Linked DNA regions of Mytilus edulis. Each later gene encodes a partner of the first gene's protein in a complex. Links are inferred from orthologs where the notes say so. Each region holds a gene or a part of one and is shown in the gene's direction. Other genes may lie near its edges.

What was found.
Region 2: the proteins of NADH dehydrogenase [ubiquinone] 1 alpha subcomplex subunit 8-like (region 1) and NADH dehydrogenase [ubiquinone] 1 alpha subcomplex subunit 13-like are in contact, whole or in part, in a cryo-EM structure (PDB 8ESZ), measured with the Drosophila melanogaster proteins. The link is inferred for Mytilus edulis from reciprocal best matches to the Drosophila melanogaster genes ND-19 and ND-B16.6. Residues at the interface, in NP_001163296.1 of Drosophila melanogaster: Val2, Ile3, Thr4, Asn5, Asn6, Thr7, Thr8, Leu9, Pro10, Glu11, Glu12, Leu15, Asn16, Val17, Gln18, Glu19, Leu20, Leu27, Arg28, Ala31, Phe32, Leu34, Gly35, Asn42, Phe45, Met46, Arg49, Asp54, Pro55, Arg56; in NP_001284943.1 of Drosophila melanogaster: Arg63, Asp64, Ile66, Glu67, Met68, Ser70, Ala71, Asn73, Val74, Ile75, Phe76, Pro77, Ile78, Val80, Ala81, Glu82, Arg83, Asp84, Arg85, Phe87, Leu88, Arg89, Leu91, Arg92, Arg93, Arg95, Val110, Gly111, Val118, Glu124.

The regions. Positions count from the first base shown.
Region 1 is NC_092345.1:73,026,301-73,033,216, reverse strand, and holds the start of NADH dehydrogenase [ubiquinone] 1 alpha subcomplex subunit 8-like, read left to right. Parts: upstream 1-3,911; 5' UTR 3,912-3,988; coding exon 3,989-4,117; intron 4,118-6,916.
Region 2 is NC_092347.1:63,213,448-63,220,518, forward strand, and holds the start of NADH dehydrogenase [ubiquinone] 1 alpha subcomplex subunit 13-like, read left to right. Parts: upstream 1-4,044; 5' UTR 4,045-4,109; coding exon 4,110-4,200; intron 4,201-7,071.

The DNA.
Region 1 (6,916 bases):
TATAAGTTACACCTGTAAAACAAAACCAATATCTTGAATATGATTTATTAGTTACACCTGTAAAACAACACAATTATATCTTGAATATTATTTATAAGTTATTCCTGTAAAACAACACATAAATCTTGAATATGATTTATTAGTTACACATGTAAAACAACACAATTATATCTTAAATATTATTTATAAGTTACACCTGTAAAACAAAACCAATATCTTTAGTATTGTTCATTATTACACCTGTAAAACAACAAAAATCTTGAATATTGTTTATAAGTTACACCTGTAAAACAACACAATTATATCTTGAATATTATTTATAAGTAATTCCTGTAAAACAACACCAATATCTTTAATATTATTCATTAGTACACCTGTAAAACAACACATATATCTTGAATATTGTTTATTAGTTACACCTGTCAAACAACACAACTATATCTGGAATATTATTCATAAGGTACACCTGTAAAACAACACATATATTTTGAATATTATTTATAAGTTACACCTGTAAAACAACACCAATATCTTTAATATTGGTCATTAGGTACACCTTTAAACAACAAATTTATCTTGAATATAAGTTATTCCTGTAAAACAACCCATGTATATATATCTTGAATAATATTTATAAGTTACACCTGTAACCCGTGTGACATGGTTCACTTAACCTCTGACCCATTTTCATATTTGATTGATAGATGTTCAGTTTTTTGTTTGAATATGTCAGATTCCTCTTGCAAAGAGGGGCGGGAAAAAAACCTGATGATACCATTGCAAAAACAAAAATCATAAACCGAAGAAAAGCGAATAACAGCACACAAAACACAAAAAAATAGAAAGCATTAAAGACTGAGCATAAATTGGTGTAATCTCAGGTGCTCTAGAAGGGTTAACAGATTCTGCTCGACATGTTGCACCCTTGAGGTCTTGTTCATTGAAGTACAAAACCGATGAGAAGATCGATACATTCGGTGGTTCACATTCGAGGAAAAGAGGACGGAATTGTGGTTACGAATATTTATCGAAAATCCGTCGTCCTCTGTGAAACAGATGTTCTATAACCATACATAGCGGTCATCCAACTCGTGATGGCGTCCGTGAACATTTCGAAGGGATCGTTTCAACTTTGATGTGACACTACGTGTAAACGGAGAACGAACTGTTTATAAGTTCAACCCCGAGATGTAGCTCAATCTGAATTTGTCTGAAATATTTTGTTGACTTGTTCTAAGATGTGTTTGTCTCCCATCTGTTTTCGCGTTGTCATATTTCATATTGTCTTTCTTTTATTTCTTTTTTACCTCACCTGGCCCACAGGGCCAAGTGATCTTTTCTCATCACTTGGCGTTCGTCGTCCGTCGTTAACTTTTACAAAAATCTTCTCCTCTGAAACTACTAGGCCACATTTAACCAAACTTGGCCACAATCATCCTTGGGGTATCTAGTTTAAAAAAATGTGTCCGGTGACCCGGCCAACCAACCAAGATGGCCGCCATGACTAAAAAAAGAACATAGGGGTAAAATGTAGATTTTGGCTTATATCTCTGAAACCAAAGCATTTAGAGCAAATTTGACATGGGGTAAAATTGTTGGTCAGGTCAATTTCTATCTGCCCTGAAATTTTCAGATGAATCGGACAACCCGTTGTTGGGTTGCTGTCCCTGAATTGGTAATTTTAAGGAAATTTTGCCGTTTTTGGTTATTATCTTGAATATTATTATAGATATAAACTGTAAAAAGCAATAATGTAAAGTAAGACCTACAAATAGGTCAACATGACCAAATTTTTTACATTTTTCATAAATTTTGTTAATTTTTGTAAAATATTTTCCTCTGTTACTACTGGGCCAAGTTCATTATAGATGAGATAACTGTAAGCAGCAAGAATTTTCAGTAAAGAATTTAAGTAAGATCTACAAACACATCATCGTCACCAAAACACAAGTTTGTCATGAATCCATTTGTGTCCTTTGCTTAATATGCATATACCAAGCTGAACGACACAGGCTCTTTAGAGCCTCTAGTTTTAATTGTCCAGCTGTTCTTTTCTTCACTTTTTATAATCTAGTCTTAACTTCATAAAGTTTAAATGAATGAATAGCAAGGTAATAAATATTTCCCTTCGTACATTTAAAGCCCTGCATTGCAGTGAAATAGTTCTTATTTCCTTGAAGGGAAAAAGTATATTTCATTTTCCGTCTGAACTTTTGCTTTGTTGTGTACTGTACTCAGCTTAGGAGGCCATGATTGACGGTATACATAATTATATTTATTTATTGATGATCCATGGCACTTATGTCGGTCGATATGTCATAAAAAAAATGCTGTAAATGACTGTTGCGCTATTTGCCTGAATAAGTGAATGTACATGTACTAAACTTATATAGCTATCTCATGAAACCCTGCTGTCAGAGAGAACATTGCATTTTAAGTGAATAAAAAGAAAAAAGAAAAGGAAACTATTTACAAGAAGATGCGGGCATGTTTTATTTGTCCCTTCTGTACATCTCCAGATTGTTTCCTGGTGAATATTCCCCCCAAATATGCCATAATGGTCCTCATAATACAACACAATTTCAATGTATGCTGCAGAATTCTGGTTGGAAGAAATCTTTAATATTCAAACCAGAAAACAAACGTACTGCGTCATAAATATAAAATAATTACGATGATCAATAACGTCAAAAGCTGATACTTATTTTTTTCTGCATTTTTTTCAACCTAAAGAAAGGAGACATTTCAATTGGGGCGAGATGGCAAACAAATTTGGGTGAGTTGGTAGAAAGTGGTGCATGTTGGTGAAAAGTTGGGGTGAGATGGTAAAAAACTTGGGTAAGTTGGTCTTTACTTACCAATAGAAAAAGGTCGTTTTGAGGAATAAACTCATCATAGATACCAGGATTGAAATTTGGTATTTGCGCTTCGTCTACAAAAGACTCATCAGTGACGCTCGAATAAAAAAATATATAAAGGCCAAATAAAGTAGTCCGAAGTTAAAGATCATCGAGAACCAAAAAATCCTACTGAAGTTATGCCAAATACAGCTAAGGAGAAAAAAACCCATATCCCCCTTGAAGTTAAATGGCTGCTACCTAACTGCAACCGACCGTGCGAAGGTTGTATACAGCCAGGCAAGGTCGTTAAAAATTCCCATCATCAAAAGCCCCCAATTAAGGAACTGCTGTTCGTCGTCGAAATTCATCACCAATTTCACATAACTTGCCGAGTAGTCAGCACCTCTGTTATAATTGATATGGTCATAATTAACTATTAAACAAATCTTTGTTTTTTAAAATAATATAAGGCTTTTCTGTCTCAGGAATTATTAAAGGAATAGTCAGAATTTTGTTTAAATTTATTAAGTTTTTCGACACTATCAAGAACTATCAATAAAAAAAAAATTTCTCAAAATTTAACACTATAAGGAATGGGGGAAATCTGCATTCAAAATATTTTTTGTCATCTACTTGAACACGGATTTTTTTTTCTACTTGAACAGAATATTTTTTTCCCATCAAATTGGGGATCAGAATATCTAAAAAAACAAAACAAAAAAAAAACTTTGAAGTTAAATGGTCGTTCCCTTTAGCTAAATATCCAATACAATCATTTTCTTGGAAAATATGCAAGTTGAATATTAAATTTCAATTTTTTTAGTGTTAAAATATGAAAACTTAACAAAACTTTATCAATTATCGTCCTTTGTGAGACCGTCTTATGGAAATAAAACATCTTCTATTTGTTATTGTTGTTATTTGTTTAATTTTAGATTCACATACCCTTGATGGGATCTTGAGAAATAAAAGTTCCAAGTTTCGAGTACCAAGGTAAAAGATGGGACGAGTTGGTAAAAAGATGGGACGATTTGACATAGATTTAAGGATTCGATTAAGCATGGTCAGGTTAGCTCTTGAAACCACCACAGTTCAAAACGTCCGATATTGTTGTAATTTAACACTGATTGTCCTTGGAAGGCCGTCCGATGGCCTTTACAAACGAAGATTATTTGCCTAGTCATGAGGAACTGACAGTTCCAGAGCTTCCACTGACATCGTCTGTCCTTAGAGCAAGCGGTGTGTTCTTTGGAAAATACTGTGATAATGCTTCGAAGGTAGTTCTTCTTTTAATTTTAATATAACAGAAGTCCAAATATAACAGTTTTACACTACAGTACAGACAGGTTTCTCCCCTTGAAAGCATACCTTTATAGCTTATTTTCCGAGTCCTTAAATAAACCAATGGTTTCTACTGACCCCTCATCTTAGAACGTTGTTATGCAATTTCTCATCACATAACAGGTTGGGAACTAACCCTCTATATAGTGATTATACCTGTATAAAGAGATAATCCTTCTATAGAGGGGTAAAATTATCTCTCTATAGAGGGGTATTTTTGTTAAGACTGGATTTAAATCAAAATAGGGCAGAATGGCTTTCCCTTCTTATTATGGCAGTAACCTGGAACAGTTGATGCACCAATTGATGTACTTAATTTAATTAGTCCGAGATTACTCTGACGTCCAACGGCTGTTTTGCCAGACAAGCTGGGGCCGTGGGACGTCAGAGCTCGTCCCATATCAAAAAGTGGATATTTGCCCACCCAAAATAGATGCGCTGCTTCGTCGCTTCTGGTGCCGACTGACAGCCTTGGAATTATATAAATCGGGCATCAATCTGTTCATTTTTCATTTATCTTTTCATTTATGTAAGTTTCACCTACCTGCCAACTTTTAATTTTCCATATTTTAACAGTTTTCACAGAGACCCATCGATTTCTGCATTTTGACGAAGCAGCGCATCTATTTTGGGTGGGCAAATATCCACTTTTTGATATGGGACGAGCTCTGACGTCCCACGGCCCCAGCTTGTCTGGCAAAACAGCCGTTGGACGTCAGAGTAATCTCGGACTAAATTTAATATGAGGCAGGCATTACCTGTGAATGGGGACGAAGTCTATGATTTTTTTTAAAATCAACAATGTTAAAAAGAGAAACGGAAATACCGTAACTTCTCCGATTTTGGTTCTGTTGTTAGGGATTTTAGTTGTGACGTTATTTAAGTTATGACGTCATATTCAATGTAAACAAAGAAACGCTGTCATCAGGTAACGTTTTTTTAATAACAAACATTTTTTTTTTAAATGAATTAGTATTATTTCCTTTCTTAGACTGATAAATATACATTTTATTCAAAGTCTCATGTAAACAAGACCGGAAACGAAAGTAGATTTCAGCACAGATCTGGAAATTCAAAAACGCGACAAAAATAAATTGAACGATTTTGAGTTCATTAGTACAATGAAAAATTTGGGAATTTTCCCGATTTTTTAAAAAATTTTCTACTGTATTATAGGGGACTTCGTCCCCATAATATGCACATGCTCAGTTTGATGTTTATAATTATCTGACTAAATATAAAATCTATTGTTCACCATGATTGAAAGCTGTGATGATCAGGTAAATTCTACTCACTTATGCCTCACTGAACAGAACTTCTATTGTTAGATTTAACATGAAATTTAAGGTCAACTATTCCTTTTGTTGTTGATCAGGTGTTCAGATACATGTAGGTATACAATAGATTGCAAGTTTTGTCACTTTAGCAGAAAACTGGTTATCCCAATTTTTAGTAAAGTGCATATGTTGATGCATATAATGCTAGAGATTATAGCCAATATAACTAGAAAATGCAATTCTGCCCTAATTTGCTTTAAATCCAGTGCAATCAAAAATTTTATCCCTCTAAAGAAGGATTATCCCTCTATACAGGTATAATCACCATACAGGGGGTTTGTTCCCAACCTGCATAATACTGTAATATGGGGACGAAGTCCCCTATTATAGTAGAACGGTCTCACTAATTAGCGACAAGAAGCGACTAGAAGAATAATTTTAGCAACAAGAAGCGGCAAGAAGAATGATTTTAGCGACAAGAAACTATTTAGTGACAAGAATTTTTTTATTTTTTTTACTTATTTCAAATAAATATTAATCTCATTTGATGTTCCACATTGTGTGTACTGTTATTAACTTAGGGCACTACAGGAAAACGAAACTTTTGATCATATTTTTCAGGAGCCAAAATGTGCACAAAAGGTGATCCATTTGGAAGTCTACATTTTTTTACCTTTCGTAGAACAAAAGGTGGTATTTCATCTTTTGTCATTGCAATAATGTCAACTTGCTACTTTTGATGTTACAAACATACAAAAGGTAAACAAATGTCGTCTTTTAACTTTTGTTGTTTAAAAAAGATTTTAAATATCACCTTTCACCTTTTTCGAAATTTTGAAAATATGCAAAAGGTTGTCCTTCATCGTTTTACACATTTTGTGAAGTTGTTTATGTTACCCTTCATCTTTTACACCTTTCCAAATCTTCCGAGATTATTTAAATATTTTTTTTGTAGGAGCAAAACATGAGATGTTAATCTAAACACCTACTACAAATATTTAAAAATAAGAAAATAATATGGGAAAAGACTAAATCATAGCATCATAGCATTAACCTACACAATCCCTTTCTTCCTTACAAATAGATGGTCCCCAGCGGGGGACTTAGTGAAACATAGGACCCTATGGGAAATGCATACAAATGACTTCTTTTAGAGAACCACTGAATTGAATGAAACCAAACATAGCATGAATGTTTCTTTTGGGGTGCTGGCCAAGTGTTGTTACTTTGTGGCCAAATTTTTACCTTTTTTTATATGAATTTAAAAACCAAAGTAAAGTCAGGTGAGCAATACAGGCTCTTGAGAGCCTCTAGTTTTCCTCACAACTGTTTAATTTCTTCATCTTTTAATATTATAAAAAAATAATCAATTTATTATTTCTGCCCGTATCTTAAAATTAATTCAAATACATATTTCTCTATATGTATTAATAAAAAAAAAAGAAGATTTTTTGTCAC
Region 2 (7,071 bases), on another chromosome or scaffold:
TTTATGCATAAAGTACTTACATTGAACAATTATTTATTTGTGAATTTTATTATTTGATTATTCATTGTTTTCTTGTGCACATTAGATAGTGTGTGTGTGTTGTTGAATGAGTTTGAATGTTAAGCAAGGGATGGTGCAATAAATGTCTGTTATTAAATTCAATAAATATATTTAAAAGCTTTATGTTTATATTAATTATTTGGCCATGATAATCCCTGTTTATAATGTAGATCTATTGAAAACTCTTTTTAGAATTAAATGAGATGATACAGAAAATGATGTAAATGTCAACATATGAGAGATATGAAAAAGAAGATGTGGTATGATTGCCAATGAGACAACTCTCCAAAAGAGACCAAATGACACAGAAAAATACCATAAATGAAATAGAACATTAATCATGATAATGGAATATGTAGACAGCTCTCTCACAAGCAAAAAACCCCTAATTGTAAAAATATAAGGGCATACACTTCAGGCACAGGGGCCACATGCAACTGCATCCACACAGCACAAGTAACACACCCTGCAGTATATAGAGTGCAAATAAAACATGATAATTCAGATACATGTTGTACATTTGTGGTAATCTAGAGTGCTGCATCTCACACAATAAAGAATTTCAAGAATAGTGCTCAAGATTTTAGTTTCTAGAGGGTGCTCATTGTTAATGGTTTTTCCTTCATTTTACTCCTGATACAATAACTTTAAACAAACACTATTCATTGTTGGGATATATTGCATATATATACACATGGAAAAAAGTATTACAACACCAAATTGAAATTGAAATTAAAAAAACACTCTTTATTTTTTTGTGATAAAATTTGTTAAAATAGAACTAGTTAAACATTATTTAAGTATCACATGAGTTTCATCAATAGATATCGACTCGATAAGTTTTTATCTGCACGTGCAGCTACTGTACCCGTAAACAGCAAAACAGATGTTTTCATCCTCATTGTTTTCAACATTTTAAATAACCAAGTTTTTAAAGTTATGTGATTGACACCTTGTAATGGGTCCTTGACAACTCTTAACTGCAGCAAGATGGCAGATTATCAGCATAAGAGAAGCAGGGATGTAGCTGTAACAACTGCACATATTGTTGGTCATCACCATTCGTCGTTTTGAGAATAAAAATCAGGCAATAAACGCTGTTAAAGACCTTCCAAGATAATGAAGACCCCCTATATCATTTGCTAGGGGAAATCAAGTATAATGAAGGTTGGTCAGAAGGAAACCCATTGCATACAGGACAATCCTGAAAAGAGAGCGGTGGCCAAACAGGAGCCTTCTAGCAAGAACTGTTCGAGATCGACTCATCGCTACTGGTTATCGTGCGACAAGACCATTTCGGAGACCTTTGCTAACAAACAGACACACAGTTTTCCGTATGACACGTAGTGCAGAGCTTGCCAAAGTTGGAAATTAGCATCACGGAGGGAGATCCAATGTTCAAATGGAATTCGTTTCATCTTACTTGGCCCGATCGTAGCCCGGATTTGAACCATATCGAGCATATTTGGGACACTATTGGGCGGAAAGTGCGCGAAAGGACACCCCAGTTCAAACACATCATGAAATAAACAATGCCCTTCATCAGAAATGGTTGCTGCTACCTTAGCAACAAATTAGTTGATTTATGGCAGGAATCAGAAGACGTTAAGATGCGGTTATCTGTTTGAATGGAGGCTGCTTACAAAGCACTAATTCTTTGGCGTAAAACGAACAACCATGATGTGAACAGTCATCTGAACATTAATTTTGAAATGTCTGACATTGTAAAGTTCGACTACAGTAAAAGTTGTAAAATGCATTTTTTTGTACAAAAACCCTTGATTTTGTTATTAAAATTGTGGTTATATTAATCATTTTTTTTTCAAATATTTTTTTGTTCGTTTCAATGCCAATGTTATCATTAACTATGTTTCAATAATATTATACATATATTTTATTATATTTCATCTAAAAAAAGAGGCTGATTTTTCAAGTTTTAAAAAATCAAGGTGTTGCAATACTTTTTCCATATGTATAGGTCAATTGGGAATGAGTTTGCATCTTGTTTTGTTATGGAATCATCTTCTCTAAAACTACTGCCTATGGAGCAAATTTAACCAAAGTTGGCCACAATCATCAATGGGGTATGAAGTATACAATTGTGTCCAATGACCTGGCTTGCTGACAAACATGGCTGATTGTCAGTTCTCTTGAAAATTGCTATAAATATATAAAAACTAGCAAAAAAATGACCAGCAAAACATGATCAAACTTGACTGAAATTCTTAGTCTACTGCTTATATGAAGTTATTGCCCTTTAATAAATATTTTTTTCATTTTTTCACATTGTTGCCTTTTATCTCAAAAGCTATATAATATAATAAATAGATAGAAACTTTAAATGGCTTAAATGATAAGTTCAACAGGATCTATGAAAAAAAATGACAGCTGAAACTTAAGTTAACTCATTATTGGAGTTATTGCCTTTTAAAGTTAATTTTCACCAATTTTTTTTGGCATTTATTGCATATATTCTGTAATAATAATGTAATCCTAGATATCATCCTCCTGATCATGGAGGGTCATGGGTTGGAACTCATCCCATTTTTTTTACAATCAATGCTTTTGAATTTTGACATGGTTGGACTCCCCATTTAATCTTGGTTGACACACCCCTTCCTCTCCCCCTTTTAAAATGGCTGAATCCATCCTGAGTATGTGGTGTGGTATAAAAATGAATCCGGGTTCGTTCGCGCCCATTCACGTTCGCACCCACTCATGTTCGCCCCCTTTCATTTTCGCATCCTACATGTTCGCGCCCAATTTTAATTGGTTTTGTGTTTAATATAACTTTGTTATCAAGTTTTGGCAAGTAGTATTCTTATAAGTATAAGTGTTTTCATTGTCTTAAAATAAAATGAGACAGCATTTTTTGTGGTTTGAATAAATCTTAATCATGTTTTGGATAGTGTATTGTTAAAAAAAATAATATTCCTTTCTAAATAAAGTGGGATTCTGTCAACGTTTTATTTTGTGTTGAATAAGTTACTATTAATCATGTTTTGGTTAGTGTATTGCATAACTTTGTTTCATTGACTTGTTTCAAAATGAAGTGAGATTCTGACTACGTTTTCTTTTTTGGTGTGTTGAATAAATTTTATCATGTTTTGGTTATAATAGTGTATTGCTATATTTTATTGTTTCATTGTTTCAGATCAAAGGGACCAAGCTGTTAAAAACAATTATCTTTTGTGTTTTTCATTTAAAATCTTTTACTGAGGGGGGATAGGAGGGGTCTTGATCCCGAAATCCCGGACTTGAAAAAACGAAATCCCGAGGCCCCGAATTTAAATAAAGCAAATCCCGACATCCCGAAATCCGAAAAAAAGGATTCCCGGATCCCAAAAGGGTCAATCCCGAAATCCCGAGCTTAAAAACACCCGATCCCGGAGTCCCGATAAAGGTCCTATCCCCCCTCTTTACTCATACCAAGTTATAAATACCTCAGTATTTACACGAAAGCAATTAAAACAACCATCATGATTTTCCAACTATTAAACTGGAATTGGAATTAAAATTGGGCGCGAACGTGTAGAGTGCGAACGGACCTTGGATGCGAACATGCGAGGTTCGAACGTGTAGGGTGCGAAAGTATATTGGGCGCGAACGGACCTGATACCTATAAAAATAGGTGGTGGGAAGTTGACTGCTTTTAAAGGACCAACTTTTAACAATTTTGGCTGAAAGGAAAAGATTTTAACAGCGGTGGAACTTTTTTTCCCATGTAAAGACTATATAAAAATCATATTTTTCTGCATTGAAAGAGTAAGAAATTAAAAAAAAAATTCTACAGGACCTAAATCCCATTTATAGGACATTTGGTCACTTCAGTTTTTTTCTAGAATATTAACTCATAGTCTTTGGTTTAGAAAGAAAATATTTGATAAAATCAATAGTGACTGTCTGAATGTCCTTGTTCGACTGTTTTATTTTGCTTAATTTCAATGTTACACGGATTAAAAACTTGCTTGGTCCGAAATTGGTCAAGATATTCTATATGTGCCTTCAGTTATCTCCCTTGCGACCTCCAAATTTTGGAGTCTCCGAGGATGTCGAGGATCGGGTACACTCAAGATATGCCCCCGCCTGGGGGATACAAGCCGATACAATATGAAAAACTAATGCCTAAACAAGGAAATGGTATTATTAAATGCTTTAATGTAGTCATAGTAAACATGTATTCGTGACTAGCCTGGGTAACACACCTGAATAAATCAAATTTATTTTTTAAATCGTCATTATAATTCAGTTATTGGTGATTCTGATTCAGTTCAACAATGCATTTATGATCACAGATTGAGCCAGGACCCAGGCTAGTCCACTGATATACATCTTTTCAAAGATTTTTACCAGTTACCAAAATGACATGAACAATGTCAAAAATAGACCGATACATAAAGACTTTTTAAAGTATTATCAAAATATGACGGTGTTGCCATCAAAAACTTACTCTGTGTGTGTACCTGTCTAATGAAAATTTTAAGGATTGCGTAGACCCACACAGTACATGGTTAAACAATTTCTTCACCTGCTTTTTTATTACTAATTATAATCTTGATCATTTGATGATAATACATTTAACGTGACGGTACCCAAATTGCACCTATTTTGATAGTTTTTTCAACTACGTTTTTTTATGATCAAGACAAAAATTTCAATTTTGTGTTTATTTTGTAGCTGTATCCTTCTTTATTATATAGGTACACCAATTTGATTTTCAATTCATATGGAATCATAGAAAAATTGACCTGAACTAACCTCCAAACCATCAATGATTCTGTAATGAGGAGTACCCAAAATGCATCCATGCTTAAATTAGCATCGACAAAAGTCGAATAACAAAGCTTTTGTTTATTTTTTTCAAATGTTTTGAACAATTGGATATTGGTCCATGCCTACTCAGGTTCTTTTTTTAAGAAATGGATACTTGAAACATATATGTATTTGCTAATTTTTAAAAGAAGACGTTTTGATGACGTTTCGGTACATTTTGCTTTTTCAGTAAACACTTCATCTGTTGATAAATATCGTGAACGTTTTGTGTATATCTTAATATGTTTACCTATGTTGAAAGACATGCATATAGTATCAAATCATAAAAATACAAATTGTTTAGTCTCTAGGAGATCTTGTGAGATTTCCGCTGCTATTTTTGCTAAATAGGTGCAATTTGGGTACCGTTACGCTAATAGCCATATATAAAGTTATATAAAGTACTAAACTCACATCAACAGCCGATGATATTTGCATTGCCATAATTTATTCACACTCTTCTTATATACATATCACACTTGGTGTTTACAGTTAATTAGTCTTCATTGGCAATTGCTGTCAATCAATATCTATCAAATTTTGAAAAGGCCTAAGCCTGGGACTTACTTCAATGAGTGATTTTCTAAATCACTAATTCAAGTAACATTATGTCCATAAAGGTTGGAAGAAAGGGTTGTCTTTCTTTATTAATCACTTATTTAAGTAGTACAAATTAATCACTAGAAAGAGTGATTTAATTTTATTGTACTTTAAATATAGAACACTAATGATCCAGGGACTAATTATGTTGCTAAAATTATCAAAACCAACATCTGTGTTGATAGGATGACCGGGTCATTTCAGGTGATGACCTTGTACTGAATCTAGGATAATGACATAAAAATCACTTGTTTTAAGTATTACTAGAACACACCCGCGAAATCGCGGGCATTCAGAGCGTAGTTTAAAGTACATGTAAAGTGTTGTTGGAAGAATTTTGTAAAATACAGAATGACTGGAGAATTTCAGCAAAAGTATCATAAGTCATAGGTTATTGGGGACAGGAAAATGTTTTTTTACCCTCCACCTTTATTTCCAAAGTTCCCAATTTTTGGTTTTCTATAAATTTCAATATGCAGAGGCGGATTTAGGGGGGGGGGGGCAGGGGGCCCCGGTCCCCCCTTTTTGGGAAAAAATTGGTTGCTTATATAGGGAATCACTGAAGCGTGACTGGAGCGGGCCCCCTCTTAGGTCAGTCAGTGGGCCCCCACTTATGAAAATTTCTGGATCCGCCACTGATATGAACATACATTTAGTATGTTATGAACATTTATCTAAGTAAGGAGCCTGTAATTCAGTGGTTGTCATTTGTTTATGTGTTACATATTTGTTTTTCGTTCATTTTTTGTACATAAATAAGGCCACTAGTTTTCTCGTTTGCATTGTTTTACATTGTCATTTCGGGCCTTTTGAAGCTGAGTATGCGGTATGGGCTTTGCTCTTTGTTGAAGGCCGTACGGTGACCTATAGTTGTTAATATCTGTGTCATTTTGGTCTCTTGTGGAGAGTTGTCTTAACATGGCAATCATACCACATCTTCTTTTTTTTATGTAATCAATGAATTTTGTAAAAGATTTAATGATTTAATGACTGAAGAATTTCAGAAAAAGTATCAAAAGTTCACATGAATAATTTTAGCGCTTATCTGTATATTATGAACATTCACTACTATATAAATAAAGCGTATTTACTTTCAATTCTAAGTTTACTAATCGATCCATGGTGATCATTGATATAGTATACAGACCCTCTCTATTTAATAAACTCTGTGACCGCCGTGGATAGTAAACTTGAAAATGATAGCACATAAAATTCTGAAAATACACTTTATTCGTAGTACATGTATATGTATGTTCAAAGTATACAGAAAAACGCAAACCGGAAGTCTAATCTGACTTAAAATTTCGTACAATGACGGGACAATATCCGGATGCCTTTTTTCTTGTTTTTCTCCTAAAATAACTCAATCTGAATAATCATATGAATGGATGACAAATGCGACTATGCACTGTACCTATAGGACACAGAGGCGTGTTGATTAATTTATTCTGGAAAGAAGAGAAACGACACCAAAAATGAGGTCTTCTCGTTTAATAGTTTAGATACATTTGTACCTCAATTTCCTTTCCAAAAATCACTTCTTTAAGTACATGTATCATTATTTTAATAACCCCCACTCATTTCAACACCCCTGACCAG